2 linked regions of the Drosophila melanogaster genome follow. Each later gene encodes a partner of the first gene's protein in a complex. Each region holds a gene or a part of one and is shown on either strand. Other genes may lie near its edges. The genes, in order: Chrac-16 and Chrac-14. A codon is read from its position in the direction of its gene.

Region 1 (7,720 bases):
CATTGTACTTAACCAGACTGCCGGCACCGCTGGCCGCATCCGTTGCACTGCCATCGGTGATGGCCAGCGTCTTGTCGCCCGGCGTTTGGGCTCCTGATGCCTTCCTGGCCTCGCCGATCTTCGCCACCTTGTCCAGCACAAGGCCATAGCCATCCTTCGCCTTGATGGAACGTCGCAACTTCTCTCTGTTTAACGAAAAACACAAATTAACAATGCGTAAGTTGCAAACTACAGGTATACTCACAAACGTTCGTCGATTTCGGGCAGATTTCCCTGGTTGGAGACGAACAGATCGTGGGTGCGCTTCAGGGAGCGGAATATCAGCGTGTGCACGCTGTGCTTCTGCACGTCTTCCATGGCCATTGTCTGTTATTTATTGCTTATTCGCTAAATTTGTTAAAAACGCGGCGCGGCTCTTGCAGCTGACCACCACAAGCCATACATAACAATCGGGCTATCGGTTATCGGACAGTGATGTCTGCTAGCTTGTTTATAGCCAAATGTTAATGCTACATGGGCATCCATTTTTAAAAGAAGTTTTATTAAAATTTTAAATGTATTTAAATGCAAATATCTAATATCTAATTGAAATTGTGTAATTGAATTATCTAATAATTAGAAAAAAATGATTTAACTTTTCACAACCTTAAGTCGAGATGAGAAATTGTGGGTCCTGAATTCAAAGTACCATAAAAGCCACAAAAACTGATAGTTTTTTCAGAATCGTTTTTCGAATACCCATCAAAGTGTTAACTTTATGCGCCCACCCGAGAGATTAAAAAACCAATACGTTGTTCTTTTTTGAAGCACATTTCTGTTTTTTTGTTTTGTTTTGTTTGTGTTTTTTTTCTGCTTATTATTAGTTTGCGGGAACCGGCGATCCAGATGCAAGAGATGAGGACGTGGGAGACACCGATGGTGACGAGGTGCTGGCCGCAGCTCCGCTTTCCGGGACGGGCGATGGCCTCGTGTTGAAGAACTGTTTGATCTGCAGATAAAAGATGGAGTAAAGATTAACCTATGAACTTAAAAACACCGACCACACCAGCCACAATTCTGTCATAAAGCATTATTTTTTTTTACCGCAACTTTGCGCATTTGTATGTTTATATCAGAATGATAAAATGCTTAATACTGTTTCTAATCAAACCCTAAACCACATTGGGAAGTACTTGAAATATTTAGGACTATCTTGACATATGAATAACCTATAAACATTAGCGAATCTAGAATGTTCTGAACATTAATTCAACTAAATCGTTGTTTGAGCCATTGCGTTGGGTTTAAGTTACAATGGTTTGCTAGTCTGATTAAAGATTTAACGAACTTCATTTCGGATTTATGACAGTTTGCTTGAAGGTGCTGCGGTTGGGCAATTGCTTACGATGCGCTTGATGTAGTTGCATGAAGTTTCGTTGTTCGAGCTGGACACCACGTTGTCCACTCGGTACGGCGGCGAGATGGTGACTTCATTTAGGATCTGTATGTTAAGTCCTTGCCAGGAGACTTCATTGTACTACAAAATAGTAAAAGAAATAGCAATGGTTAATGATGATAGGGCATCGTGCAAGAGGTCATTACCCCGTATTGTTTGGCTATCGCTCTATAGAGTTCCTGCGCCTCTGGACTGACATCAGCATTCTTAGACTTCAAGTAGTCCTGTCTTCGCTCAACTGTTTTCCTCAGACGCATTTTGACCTGTATAAGCAATATATATATATATATATATATATTTATGTAAGTGGTCAGAGCTGGCATGCTTACCTGTTCCAGATTAAGCTTTTGCGGATCATCAAAGTTGCCGTTGCACTCCTTGATCACCTGCACGTTGCTGCAGAGCGAGAGGTTCATCGCGTAGATATCACTCAGCTCCTCCGTGGACTTGGATCGGCATTCTATGCGGTTGGAAAGGGAAGAGAAGAGCAGGAACGGGGGGCAAAGATATACGATGTACGGAGAACCAAATTGTCAAGCAGTAAACAATGGGTTTGATAAGAGATAGGTGATATGTGAATGCTATCAGTTAAGATGAGTGTGAATTAGAATTATATACGAATCTAAAGGACAGTGTGACTTTTTGTCCAGACAGCTCAAGAGATCCCTGTGGACAGCCGGAGAAAGTGCTCGCTTTCACCCGGCGGGCAAGTTGTGTGTGTGTGTGGGTATGCATTTCGGGGATTTCGTTGCAAAAGGATACTCAGGATAAGCATCTTTGTGTTGTGATCGAAGGCCAGCACCTCGCCCTCCACCTCCTCGTTGAAACAGGTCGTACAGACGACTGTGGATCCGATGCTGAAGCAGTCGTTCACTGCATTCACTGCGCTCGCAGCGGCAGCGGCCATTTTTAATTGCTGGTTGAGATTGGCCAACTGGAAAAGTGCACCCACAAGCTATGTGGATAGGGGATTCGAATCTAGATCTAAATGTCGATACTGGTTTGTTGGCACGCCGTTGCTTGAACAACGTTTCACAAACAGCGATGGTGATGATGTTGATGATTTTGCGGCAGCAGCAGCTGTTTTGGATGCTTGAATTCCTGGAATTCTCGAAAGGATTTAACTAGCTCTCTCGCTCGCTCTCACTCTCGCCGTCTGTCTGTCTCGTTCTCTCGTGCCGTGCAGCTCACTCGCTTTCACTTGAACCGCTCTAATGGAAATGTCGCTTCCTGGCGATCTGGTCGAGATCCTGCTCCTGCTTCCACTGCCCCTGATCGTCGCGTGAATTGGCCAAAAACTCGCTGGTTACTCGCTCGACTAGCTATCGGCTATCTATTTTGGCGGCAATTGCGGTTCGGTAATTGAAAAGTTGGAAAAGTACGCGAAAAATTTATTGGTCAACACACGAAACAACAGCCAAAAGGGGGCAGCAGAAAACGCAGTGTTGCACATGCCGCGCAGCGATAGGTTCGATAGTCATCGATTACGGAAGTCTGGCAACGTTGCTGCAAACAAATCAAGTGCAATAATAATTTATTGATATTTATTTATATGTGAGTTCGAAAATGAAGACAGATTTTTAAGCTATAAGTGTGAAAATCCAAAGTTGATTGCATACTGAAAAGACAAAAGTAGATAATATTGACTTGTCTAAATGTTGTTGCAATTGAATGTTTCCTTATAAATCGTGCAGATCCTAATCGTTTTACCCCTAATCTCTTGATTAAGTTAAAGGTATTTGCTTAGAGCGGTTTTTCCACTAATAAATTGAAATATTTGGAAAACTTTTATTAAATACTTGTTGTGGCTACCGATAGCATATCGGCGCAACGTTATTTGGTTAAATTCCCGCTCCAGCTAGAGCTGAAAGTATAGGCAAATCCGAATGGGTTTCTCAATTTTTATATATTTAGCGCTATAACTTAATTCTGAGAAAGTAACACATATATTATTGTGCACATCCAATTCCTTGCAAAAATAGAAGTATGCCAGCATTGTTCGTTTTAAGGGAAGCCCTGCGGTTACTTATTTTAAGTCTTCATAAACCATAACCATCGATAGCAAATAAAAAAAAAGAATCGATAGTGTCTCAGAAAGGTACGAATTTCATGCCTCGATTGTAACATCGATAGTTTCACAGCTCCACTTGTGAGCCCAGCTCTAAAACCAAAAAAATTCCCAAGCCATAGTTTGCTTGGGAATTAAGTAAACAAATGGGCGAACCAAGGAGCCAACCACCCGTGGAGCGTCCACCGACCGCGGAAACCTTTCTGCCCCTCAGCCGCGTGCGAACGATCATGAAGAGCTCCATGGACACGGGCTTGATCACCAACGAGGTGCTCTTCCTGATGACCAAGTGCACGGAGCTATTCGTTCGCCATTTGGCGGGCGCGGCATACACGGAGGAATTCGGCCAGCGACCGGGCGAAGCGCTCAAGTACGAGCATCTCTCCCAGGTGGTCAATAAGAACAAGAATCTGGAGTTTCTGCTGCAGATCGTGCCGCAAAAGATCCGTGTACACCAGTTCCAGGAGATGCTGCGGCTAAATCGCTCCGCCGGCAGCGACGACGACGATGACGACGACGATGATGACGATGAAGAAGAGTCCGAATCGGAATCGGAGTCTGATGAATAGACGGTCATGCAGATGTTTATCTACACCGAAATTGAGTGGATGATCTCCATTCACCAAAACATCGACTGATTTTTTACGCCACCTTGCTATCTTTAATTTTAGACTAGACGATAAGTATAAAATTGTTTATAGAACCACTGATTAATAAAGAAGCATAAGAGCACTGCGTCCTCCAAATGACCATAAGATCCGCGGATGATTACCGTGTGTCTGCGGCTGATAAGATTGTTGTTTGAAATCAGAGTAAAGTAGAGCATAGTCAACCTCTTTGTGAGTTTACATGATGATCCTGGATATTCCCAGGAGAGAATGTGATCCTTAAGCTGACCTTGAACTAGAACTGCAAAAAAGGATAACCTAACTAGCATGCAAAACATTGATAGACGCGATTTAAAACGTTAAAGAGCATAACATATAATTGCACTTGGATTCGATTGGTACATTTTACTGCGGCTAAGGATAGATAGAGATTGCAGCTCCTAGACCTTCAGGTTGACGCCGGGATAGCCGGTGGCGTTCAGTCCGGTCACCTTGTAGGTGGTGCCAGCTGGAGCGGGCTGATCGAACTTGGCGGCAGTGGTCACGTACAGGATGTCCAAGTTGGGGCCACCGAAGGCGGCGGAGGTAATCTGTTTGGTTGGGAACTTGATCTCAAGCAGAATCTTGCCAGTGCTGCAATGAAGTACGACATTTAACACTCGATCACGAATGTTAGAGTGAACTACTCACTTGGGATTAACCTTGTAGATGGTGGCGCCATTGAAGGTGGCCACATACAGGTTGCCCTCGGTATCGATGGTCAGGCCATCGGGCAGCAGATGATCCTTGGGACTATTCTTGCGCAGATTGAATATAACCTTGGGATTGCTAGCCACGCCGGTCTCGAAATCATAGTCATACGACTTCACCTCGTAGTCGGTGGTATCGATGTAGTAGAACTTCTTGGCCTTCTCGTCCCATGCCAGTCCATTGGAGATGCCCACATCGCCCTTGATCACCGACACCTGGCCACCGGCCTCCCAGCGGTACAGCTCGCCGTGACGGAACTCGAACTCATCGCCAATGTAGCGCATGGTGCCGCCAAAGAAGCGACCACGGGGATCAACCTTGGCGTCGTTCAAACGATTCTTCTCCATCAGTGGCTGCACCTCGAACAGTGTGCGCACCACCTTGGCGCTGGGCGAGACGCCATCCCAGTTGACGATCACCACGCGTCGACCGCAGCCGACGGCGAATTCCTGCGGACGTCCCTCCACCGGCAGCACGAATCCGGCCAAGGTTTCGCCCTCGATCTTTGTCTTGTAGACCTTGTTCTGCGCATAGTCGTAGCGGAGCAGGCTGCCTGCCTCCAAATCCACGTAGTACAGGCTCTGCCTGGCCACATCCCAATGGGGACCCTCGCCCAGGCCGGCGTAGGAATCGGGCAATGGTTCCACCTTGTACGACATCTGTTGGCGAAATTGGGAACAACCGATTTGCGATTAGTGCATCTAATTGATTTTATATGGATTTATAGTGGATATAAAGTGGCATTTGGAATGCATTATAGCACTTCATGGTTATCATTATCATGGTTGCCATTTTAATTAGATTTTAAATTGAATTAAACAATTAAGAAGTACAGAGAATTCGAATTTAGATGTAGGATTAAATCAGAAAATTACGCACAAAAGCGAAAAACTAATAATTCAAACTGTCAACATTGCGATAAAATAGAATTATCAGGATAATTTATATGCGAGCAATGAGCAATTAAATTAATCATTTAATTTAATTTAAATATTCATTTAAATATGCGATTTTTTGTAGAGTTTCAAACACTTGACTTTCGTAACACTTTTTTTCTTCAATTTCTTTAGTTGGTCCTACTTATAGACGCAGTACCGTTAGGCCGAAAAGGCACACTGCAATCACGGGAATCAGTAACATCATCTTGCGCTCGTTGGCTCCGAATCCAAACTGAGCCCAAAGCCATCGCTCGGAGTTGCTTTTATTACCTCCAGACCAGGGGCTTGACATTACTGGCTGAGAATCGGCGGCATCGTCATCATCGCAAGCGGAACACAATGCGAGATTATTTATTTACTTCCATTTCCATGTTTTAAGTTCAATTTTTCCAAAGGCCGACGGTGGAGCACAATGGAGTTTTTTTTTTTCGATTGTAACATATGCCACTTTCCGGTTTTATATTTTTAATCAATTTAGTAAAAAGTATTTCCAATTTAAATACATACAATTAACATGTTTTTTTCTGTATGCAAAGCTACAATTTTTCGTTAGCTTTATCGAGCAATGGTTCCACTGTGCGTTGCAGCTGTGCTCTTGTGACGTCATGCCCTTCACTTACACTCACATACTCAACAAAAGCAAAAGCAACAACAACAACAACAACAGATGCTGCGATTAACTTTTAAGTTTGATTGCGCCTGGCATTTAGCGATTTTTAATTGACTTTTGTTGTCATTCGGCTGCTGTTATTGAATTGGTCAAGTGGAGACCTTAAAGAGATGCTCACTGGCAGGCACTTCTGTTATCGGACACATGTAGAGGGCACAGTGGGGCAAGAGCGTTCGAAAATGCCAAATTCACAAGTAGCTGCTCAGATGTGTGGAGCATGTGAAAATAATTGAGTACTTAATCCGTGCTGAAGTCTCTCATTTCGAAATTTTTTTAATACAAAAAAAAAAAAAAAATTTAAAAAAAAAGGGAAAAAGTTTTTGAATAGCACATTTAATAGAAGGAAAATATTCGAGCTATATTTTTTACCAAATTTAAATTTAATTTGTGCAAGCTCATAAATTTCTATTTAATTTTAATAATGCTTCCGTTTTTTCGAAAAAGTCTTCAGTATAAACTATGCCTTCTTTTTCGCATCACTTTAACACACTTGAAAAAAAAAAACGGGGAACGCTTGCAGGAGAGCACCTACCTTGGAGATAGCTTAAGCTTGAGCTGAGAGATGGGGAATCGAGAATAGAGAATCGAGAATCCTTGGACACGGCTCCGTTGAGTAGCGCGTTCAAACTGAATGCCACCCGATCCGGCCCAATTCTTATATACCCCAGCTGGCACGGGCGTGACACACAATCTCGCCAAAACCTCCTCCACCTCCACCTCCTCTACTCCGCCTCCACCTTCACCTCCTCCTCCTTCGCCCACTGATAAGCGGAGAATTGGAGGGCTGGATAGCCCGGCCTGATAACAGAGCAACAGAAGTCGCCAACGGGCAAATTAACCCGATGGCAAATTGCAAAAAAAAAAATATTCCAAAACAGATTGCGAAAGTGCAGCATTACAGTTTTGAAAAGCGTAATGAGAAGTTTTCGAGTTTAAGCAGCTCAAAGTTTGAACACTTTTTGAACAGAAAACAGAAACTGAAGCCTAAATGTTAGGAAATGATTTTCAGAATAATTAGGCTCCCTAAATTTATAAAAGTATCTTAGTAATAATGAAAAATGAAATTTTCAAACCAAATTTAACCTGTGTGTTTTTAAGTGCAACATTAAGATTAAACTAACTAATCAACTTCAATTTTCAGCTGGCTAAACTTAACTTTTCACCTGACTTTAACTAATCATAAAACTGAAACTTAAGCTGAGCAGATTTAGTAAAAGTTATGGGGTTAATTTCTACAATAATAAATGCACA
Region 2 (7,821 bases), on another chromosome or scaffold:
TTGGCCGCCCGAGTCCGGATTGGGATCCGTATCGGGATGCAGCTGGTCTGCCTCCTCCTGGGCCGAGGCCTCCAGTTGCTTGCGCTGCAGCTCCAGGCGATTGAGCAACTCAACCGCGGTCTCCTGGATCTGCTGCTGCAGCTCGTGCGCATGCTCGTGCATGTGGCTGTGCTGATGCTGCACAATTTTCAGCGTATGCTCTCGGAGAAGTAAGATTCGGCTCGAACAACAATCTGCAGAATACAGAAGAAGGTGTGCGATTAAGAAAACAGGACATTTCCAGTGATCGCAAAGATACAGAATAGATAACGTTGTAAAGCTCAAGTTGAAGTACAAAAAGCTTTCAGTTTTTAGTGCGGCAACTTTTGAAATTATCATAAAAATGTCTCCCTATGGTATTATTATTACTAATTTTTTTAATTTTTAAGAATGCAAAGTTTGTTCATAAGGACAGTATTTAAATGAAACTCAAAAAAATCTTTAGAAATAATTCACAAATATGTATATTATCTGAAGTTTACTTCATTCATCATCCACGAACAGAAAGCTAATACAGGATTTTACACAGTTTTCAAGGAAGTTTTAGTTTTTTAGCATAACAAGTATATAATCAGCACTGCAAATATTTTATGATTTGTTGTAGCTGTTTTCCAGTTTTTTCGACGCTAGAAATAGCTTTTTTTGTGGGAGAGCCTGGCAATACTGGCCGTAATATTGGAATCTAAAAATCAGGTGGAGATTATGTACGTACCTGTGACGGCGACAATTGTTGAGAGCACGAAAATTACTTTGAAAATCCGAGTAAATGGGATTTGCATCATTGGAAAACGCTTGGGGTGGCGCTCCGAAAAATATTGATTGGGTGGACCGATTGTCCACCACTAGGAAAACTGAGTCAATGAAGGGGTCTAAACGATCGAGGGATCGAGCGGCGTGCTGGCCGCAAATGCAATTTGGCGTCGCAACAGAAGCTGAAACATACTACACACTTGCATCTCCTTGTGGATTTTACTGCAAAATAAAAATAGAACATTTTAGCGCCTCCACATTTTCTGTCGCACGAACGCACACACACGAAACAAAAAAAAAAGGAAAAGAAATAGCATTCAAAATTGGTGATCCAAAAGCTTTTCATAGATTATCTTAGACGTACTGGAGCTGCTATATGGCCTGTAGAAGGCTTCGACATTATAATTATTATAATGACTCGTGAATCATTTTATATATCAGGCAAGTAATTAATTAGTTAATCTAAAGAGCAGCAAGCGCGGGAAGCGGGCTCTTCTCTGCTCCACTTTGATTTTAGGTCTTGTTGCGCGCACGTCGGAAAAGAGACTGAGGAAAACAGAGCCAGAGAAACAGATGGACCTCATCCCTACATTGGCGGCATTGGCATGCGCCATGAATGAAATCGATCGGTGAGCGGGGAGAGCGAAGAGAGCGCCCCCAAAAGAGATGCGATTGCGACCGATAATAGTCGAAGAATCATATGGATATGCTAAGAGCTGCAAAAAAAAACCGCCCTTTAACAGTTATTCAATTTGTTAACGGCACTTTTCACTGCATACTTCTAGGGCACTATAAAGATATATTACTCTGTGAAGATAGCTGATAAGACTTAAAAATGTTTACATGTTTCGTACAAATATGCAATTGTAGCGATTATTATTTATATTGATAAAACAATTTAAAAGTCTTCAGCCAGATATTCAAAATTTAAAAATTAATGACCACTCATCTCATGATTTCGTCCAAAATATGATAATCGTTGATAATTAAAAACGCAGTATTCATTTCTTCGGACATTAATTTAGTTAATTTATTGCTTAGATTTATGCTTACCAACGAGTACAAGGCTCTAATTAGATATCAACTAATATCCCAGTAGAATTTGAACTATGACGCGGACTTGATAAAAAATAAATTCAAAACAATGGCAACTGCACATTAGATTTGTGGTTCTATCGGAGCAACTCCCAAGTGACTGTTTCCGAGGAAATCCAATTCGGAACACAGACTGATGACACGGCCTATGTCCTGAGGTTGGAGACACAACGGAGCATTGGCCGCCGCCGGTGGCAACTGTTCCAAAGTCTCCTGTTGCAGTTTCGCCGCCAAGGAGCGGCGCACCAATTTCTCAATAAAAGTGCGCAGCACTTGTCCGAGCATCGAGAGAGCCAGTGGCTGGGAGACGCCAGGCGGAGATTCCTCCGGTTCCAGTGTGATATTAATGTCCTTGCACATTTCCTGGACCAGCTGCAAGGTCGAATCCAAGTGCTTCGGCGGAGGTAGATAAAGTAGTTGGCGATGATTCACCATTTGGAAAGATACATCTGCTGAGTTTGTTAACCTGGACGCAAGCGGATGAGGTTTGTCCACACCCAACACATCGATGAACTCCTTATCCCGCATCTGTTGATCATGACCAAGCAGACGATCGGATTGCTTGGTTATCCAAGCTTCCAGCCGATTGCCTGAGCTGAGACTGCTATAGGCCGACAGTTGCGGTTGGGGCTCGCCCTTTAGTTGCGCCTGAACACGCCGAGCCAGTTGCTCCTCATCGCTCAGTTTTTGTTTTCTCTTTTCATGCACGACAGGTAAAACATCTTTGAGAGCTGGCGTATAACCATGAACCCTGGCGAACGCCACTATCTCCCGTAAACTCCAGTAGTGTTCCTTTCCACTAATGTCCAACTTATGCAGCTCGTGGTGCTGCATCAGACAGCGACGGAGCATACGTGCGCGCAGGTACTCAAAGCAACGTTGTTTTAGAGCAGTGTGATTGTGGAACTCTTCGAGGGTTATACAAGTGAATGGATACTCCTTTTGCTGATCAATCGACGCAAGCGGGAGGCGGCTCAGCAGGAACTCCACAGCACTGCGCATATTTCGGAATTGTGCACTTCTAAAGATGTGCTCCAGCCTTCGGGGTCGCGATTGTATGGTAGTGTCCACAATTGGAGGTAACAGCATTGGCTTTTCCTCCATCTCGCCGCTCATGTTGGCGTACCCATGATCGTGCTGCATGCACTGCAGCATATGCCATCGCGTTTCTGACGGTGGCTTAAGAAGACTCAATTGTGGTTTCAGCAGGGATTGTTGCTTTGCAGCCTGCTTAAGCTTGCGCTGCAAGGGATCGATAATGTACAGCTTTCCTGCTCTCTGAAACACAACATTCTTCTTGCCCTGGTGATGGCCATTGGGCACAGGCTTTATTGGTGGCCGATCCGACGAGGATTCCTTCCACGCTCTCTGCGGAGATGCCGGTGGATAGTGCTTTACTGGCGAAAACTCCTGCCGCTGCCTTTCTGGCAAGGATTCCTGCCTAGGACTTCGGCCGTTTACTGGCAGATAGACCACAGAAGGCTTCGAAGCGGTGACCTGAGCCGCATTTAACCGAAGTTGAGTCCTAGGAGGCGATGACGGAGTGGGTGGCTGCTTTCTTGGACTGTAGTTTAACTTCAGGGGCTCTGAAACCAACACAGTTGGTTCAATTTTCTCAATGTCGTCGCTGAGTTCAATTTTGTTGATACCAGCAAACAGATTGTCATCAAGTTCCTCCTTATTTTGAGTGATTGAAATGGTGCGCGGTTTGCATGACTCTCCAGGAAAGGCGAAAACCGAAGGCTCTAAAACATTCGGAGCAGCCAGAGGTGGAGCAGGAACTGCAGTCTCCTGTTCATGGGGAGGATGAGGTTTGCCGCTTTTCTGTTTCGTTATCGCCTGTTTTGCTCTCAGCCATATTTCCACAGTGGTCTCTGCGCCCATCGTGTGCAGTCCACACATTGTTTTATCCAGCACCACCGTGTGCATTAGTTGCACGGGTTTCTGCTGCAAGTGCTCTTGGAAAAATAGCTGGATGCGCATCGGAAACTCGCCCCAACCATGTCGGTTAAGCTGAAACGGAGACCTGTGCACGTCCACGATGTCGTTTGGGCGGTATGACGGATGGAGGTGGAAGCGCACCTAGAATTGCGAAGAAGAGATTGAATCACTCCGTACGTGCTTATGGGAATTACTTACCTTTTTAATGTATTTTTCAAGTGGTTCAGGTAGATCTTTGCCTTGCACATAGACCAACCACTTATAGGTCAAAGCATTCCCACCTGTGCCATTCTCTCGAGAGTCTTCGCCAATGTATTTGGAAGTATTACCCACCACGAAGTTGAATTTGTTCTTGTTATTCAGCCGCGAGGCATTCAGCTCCACTTGCCTTTCGTGGGCCTGTCGGCTGGTGCACGGCTGCTCGTCCTCCAACTTAACGGAAATGGGAGGTTCCTGCTCTGGCTGATCTTTTTTGTCCTTGGAGTGATCGGTTACGATGCCCTGCTCCTTGATCTTCTGTTGCCGCCTTCGTTCCGCCCGACGATGAGCCGGATTCCTCAGTCGGATGGTTTCTTTGGCCAAGGTGGCCGCCGTGCGCTCTGGCAAATGATTTTGGATGACAACAGGGCGCTTGCCAACGATTTTTTTAATGGCTGGATGCAGTGGCAGCTGCGGAGCGGCTATGTCGTCCCCAAAAAGGCTGTCGCCGCGCACTTTCGCAATATCCGCGCCGGTGAGGGGGACCTGCTGCTTTCGGTAATATTCGCTGACCACCTGATAGCGTAGTCTGTCCAACAGTTGTCGTCCTTGCAGCAGTCGTCGGTCGATCTCGGCCAGCTGCTCGACCTTCTGAGAGATTTCGCGCTGGAACTCCAGACGAAGCAGCTCCCGGATGCGCTGAAATTTGTCGGACAACGGCAGCATGCCATCCGACTGTTCCGTCTTGGTCCACTTTCTTTGACCGGGCGACTCGGCTTCTGCGCAGGTTTCTTCCTCATCCTGGCTAGAAACTTCCGTTTGCTGATAATCTGGATCGTGGTACTCGCTGTGCCTGCGTTTTTTTGGCGGCGTCGCTTGTTGCTGGTCCATGTGCGTGGTAGCTGGCACACGCACAGGACTTGTATCACGTTAGTTCGGAGGGGAACAGCTTCAAGTTTGGCCCGAATCGCTCCGTGCACATTTAGGCCGGGGTAATTGGCTGTTATTTATAAAAATGTGTAAACAATTGATGCGAACGAGGCGGCGCAAACAGAATTGAGTGGGGGAGTTGCCACATCGCTGGTGTAGATGCGTGCACGCTGGCCTTGTCCAACACTGTTCAGCCAGCTGTTTACTCTTTACGCGGGAAGCAAAGACGCCGAAATCTAGACGGAAAATCAAAAGTGCCCACCAAGTAAAAGCAGATAAGCAGCAGCAAAATGGTCGAGCGCATCGAGGATCTTAACCTGCCGAATGCCGTGATTGGCCGGCTCATCAAGGAAGCACTGCCGGAGTCAGCTAGTGTCAGCAAGGAAGCGCGAGCAGCGATCGCCCGAGCGGCATCTGTGTTTGCCATCTTCGTGACATCCTCGTCGACGGCGTTGGCCCACAAGCAGAACCACAAGACCATCACGGCCAAGGATATTCTACAGACCCTCACCGAGCTAGACTTCGAAAGCTTCGTGCCCTCTCTGACGCAGGATCTCGAGGTCTATCGTAAAGTGGTCAAGGAGAAAAAGGAGAGCAAGGCCAGCAAGAAGGATTCCAACACTGCCGAAAATGCCAACGCCAGTGCCACCGCAACAGCAGAGGAAGCCCCCGAGTGATTACGAATAGGAGAAACTATACGGATCAATTATCCTCTTCAGTCATTAAGAACAAAGCTAGTATTGAGCATTAACAAAAAACATTAAACATAGGCATTATCTAAGAACTTCACTTGTGTTTTGTCACTTTCCTCAAAGACTAAATTATGTTGTTAGTCAACGTTTACATGGGATTAATTTGGGATTGTAAGTGACGGTTGGAATTACACCCTTAAATAATGCCGCATTTCAATCCAGTCCGATCTAGTTTTTTACGCCTTCATTCAAAGTATATAAAGGTGTCAGAATAATATTTAAGTATTTCAGTAATTATTTGTTTATATATGTGATCAGAAAATCACTGTTTTAAAAATCATCCAGATAGATAACCGCGTGTTCTTTCCAGCACTGGAAACAGCTGTTTAAAAAAGCGCGTCTTATCGCAACAAAAAGTTTAGTTAGTTATTATTTTGCATGTTTTATACAATTAATATTTTAGTAGAAAATGGGAGTTACGGGCTTGTGGAAGCTCATTGAGCCGTGCGGCAAGCCAGTCCCCGTAGAGACTTTGGAGGGCAAAATCCTAGCAGTGGGTAAGCATCGTTTTTCGCCACCTAATGAAATACTTGCTGATTGGAGTACTTTTCGTCCTGCAGATATATCGATTTGGTTGCATCAGGTTGTGAAGGGCTTTCAGGACAACAAGGGATCGGCCCTGAGTAATGCCCATTTACTGGGTCTATTCCATCGTCTCTGTAAATTGCTATACTATCGTGTGCGACCGGTTTTCATTTTCGATGGATGCGTGCCGCAGCTTAAAAGGGACACTATTGTGAGTTATAATAGGGGAATATATCAAATTCACTCTCTAAATTAAATCCTCTTTATGTCACCCCTTCAGGCACGTCGCCAGCAGCAGAGGAATAAGCTCAGCAACGAAGCTGATCGCATTCAGGCTTTGCTCCTTCAATCCCTGGCCAAAGAAAAAGTAGTGCAGCAAGCGCTGGGCAAGAATGCAGAGCTACTGTTGAAATCCCCGGTTAAGCGACCGCCTCCAGCTAAGAAGAACGACGAGGATGACTTGTTTAAGCTTCCCGAACTGCCGGCTGCATCGGTGCAAGATAATCAAGATGAAAGCGAGCAGGACACCAGTGCCAGTGCCTCAGACAGCTCCTTTGACGAGTCAACCGCTCGACATTCTTACAACTCTAGCTTACAGGCCATCGATGTAAAGAGTCAGCATTTTCGGAATCTGCCAGCCGATGTGCGACACGAGATCCTTACAGACATCAAGGAGACGCGCAAGCAATCGTCGTGGGGCCGTCTGCACGAGTTGCCCGCCCGCAGCGATGACTTCTGCTCCTTCCAGATGAAGAGACTCCTCAAGCGCCGAGCCGTTCAGGAAAGCTTAGAGCAGGCGGAACAGGAGATGGGCGGACATACGCTTACCTATGCAGAGTTGTGTGACTTTTTCAATGAGGAGGGCATTCTCACCCCAACGGCCATTGAACAGTGCACCCGACAAATTAGCTCGGATGAACATACACGATTCCTGCTGGTCAGGGATCTTAAAAAGAAAGCAATGGAGAGCACCAAACAAGAGGTTAAAATGGAGATGATTGAGGAGGTACCCGCTGAGGAGGAGGATGAGAAGCCAAGCACTTCCACCAAGAAAGAGGCTGTGAAAAGTGTGGACCTAGGCACAGAGTTCGATGAAGATTTGGCCAAAGCACTGTCTATGTCAATGGAGGAGACCAAGGTGTACGATGAAAAGGACTACGAGTACGACTCGGACCAAGAGTTGCGCCTCAATCGAGCTCAAACCAAGCAATTGCGCCATGCGGCCAAGGGACCTGCACGGGCCTATATGATTGAATACGGCGGAATGAACGACGAGGAAGTTGGCAACATCATGGAGGCCACTCAGTTCAATGACACTCAAAGCCTTGAAAAGTTGCTAGAGATCACGACAGTCCCGACCGACATGGCTGACAACTCGATTGAGGAGGCCAAACTTATTTCACAAGCTATTGAAGAGAGCAAACAACTATCCCAAGCAATTGAGGAAAGCAAGAAGAATCTTAACGAGGACAAGGTGGAGATTGTAGATACTGATACCGACTCAGACTTGGAGGAAGTAATGGAAGTTCAGGAGCTGGATAAAGGCAAGAAGAATCTTGAGATTTGTGTTGATATTACTGGCCAAGCGGAT

What was found.
Region 2: the proteins of Chrac-16 (region 1) and Chrac-14 are in contact, whole or in part, in a crystal structure (PDB 2BYM), measured with the Drosophila melanogaster proteins. Residues at the interface, in NP_001285148.1 of Drosophila melanogaster: Thr35 (codon at 3,752), Gly36 (codon at 3,755), Leu37 (codon at 3,758), Thr39 (codon at 3,764), Asn40 (codon at 3,767), Glu41 (codon at 3,770), Val42 (codon at 3,773), Phe44 (codon at 3,779), Leu45 (codon at 3,782), Met46 (codon at 3,785), Lys48 (codon at 3,791), Cys49 (codon at 3,794), Thr50 (codon at 3,797), Glu51 (codon at 3,800), Leu52 (codon at 3,803), Phe53 (codon at 3,806), Val54 (codon at 3,809), Arg55 (codon at 3,812), His56 (codon at 3,815), Leu57 (codon at 3,818), Ala58 (codon at 3,821), Gly59 (codon at 3,824), Tyr62 (codon at 3,833), Arg69 (codon at 3,854), Pro70 (codon at 3,857), Gly71 (codon at 3,860), Glu72 (codon at 3,863), Ala73 (codon at 3,866), Leu74 (codon at 3,869), Lys75 (codon at 3,872); in NP_476646.2 of Drosophila melanogaster: Ile15 (codon at 5,286), Leu18 (codon at 5,295), Ile19 (codon at 5,298), Glu21 (codon at 5,304), Ala22 (codon at 5,307), Leu23 (codon at 5,310), Pro24 (codon at 5,313), Glu25 (codon at 5,316), Ser26 (codon at 5,319), Ala27 (codon at 5,322), Ser28 (codon at 5,325), Val29 (codon at 5,328), Ser30 (codon at 5,331), Glu32 (codon at 5,337), Ala33 (codon at 5,340), Ala36 (codon at 5,349), Ile37 (codon at 5,352), Arg39 (codon at 5,358), Ala40 (codon at 5,361), Ala41 (codon at 5,364), Val43 (codon at 5,370), Phe44 (codon at 5,373), Ala45 (codon at 5,376), Phe47 (codon at 5,382), Val48 (codon at 5,385), Thr49 (codon at 5,388), Lys62 (codon at 5,427), Thr63 (codon at 5,430), Ile64 (codon at 5,433), Thr65 (codon at 5,436).

Annotation. Positions count from the first base shown.
Region 1 is NC_004354.4:12,013,803-12,021,522, reverse strand, and holds Chrac-16 (chromatin accessibility complex 16kD protein), read left to right. Parts: upstream 1-3,561; 5' UTR 3,562-3,649; coding exon 3,650-4,072; 3' UTR 4,073-4,298; downstream 4,299-7,720. Other genes in the region: Tango4 (transport and golgi organization 4), read right to left, coding at 1-185, 245-363; Lsm12a (LSM12 homolog a), read right to left, coding at 860-988, 1,385-1,516, 1,582-1,698, 1,765-1,895, 2,198-2,342; regucalcin, read right to left, coding at 4,552-4,744, 4,802-5,520, 5,957-6,004. UniProt on the Drosophila melanogaster protein: Histone-like protein which promotes nucleosome sliding of ATP-dependent nucleosome remodeling complexes. Part of the chromatin-accessibility complex (CHRAC) which uses energy/ATP to increase the general accessibility of DNA in chromatin.
Region 2 is NT_033779.5:8,432,262-8,440,082, forward strand, and holds Chrac-14 (chromatin accessibility complex 14kD protein), read left to right. Parts: upstream 1-5,143; 5' UTR 5,144-5,243; coding exon 5,244-5,630; 3' UTR 5,631-5,735; downstream 5,736-7,821. Other genes in the region: grk (gurken), read right to left, coding at 1-233, 752-821; D12, read right to left, coding at 1,948-3,966, 4,024-4,914; mus201 (mutagen-sensitive 201), read left to right, coding at 6,115-6,202, 6,266-6,441, 6,511-7,821. UniProt on the Drosophila melanogaster protein: Accessory component of the DNA polymerase epsilon complex. Participates in DNA repair and in chromosomal DNA replication. Histone-like protein which promotes nucleosome sliding of ATP-dependent nucleosome remodeling complexes.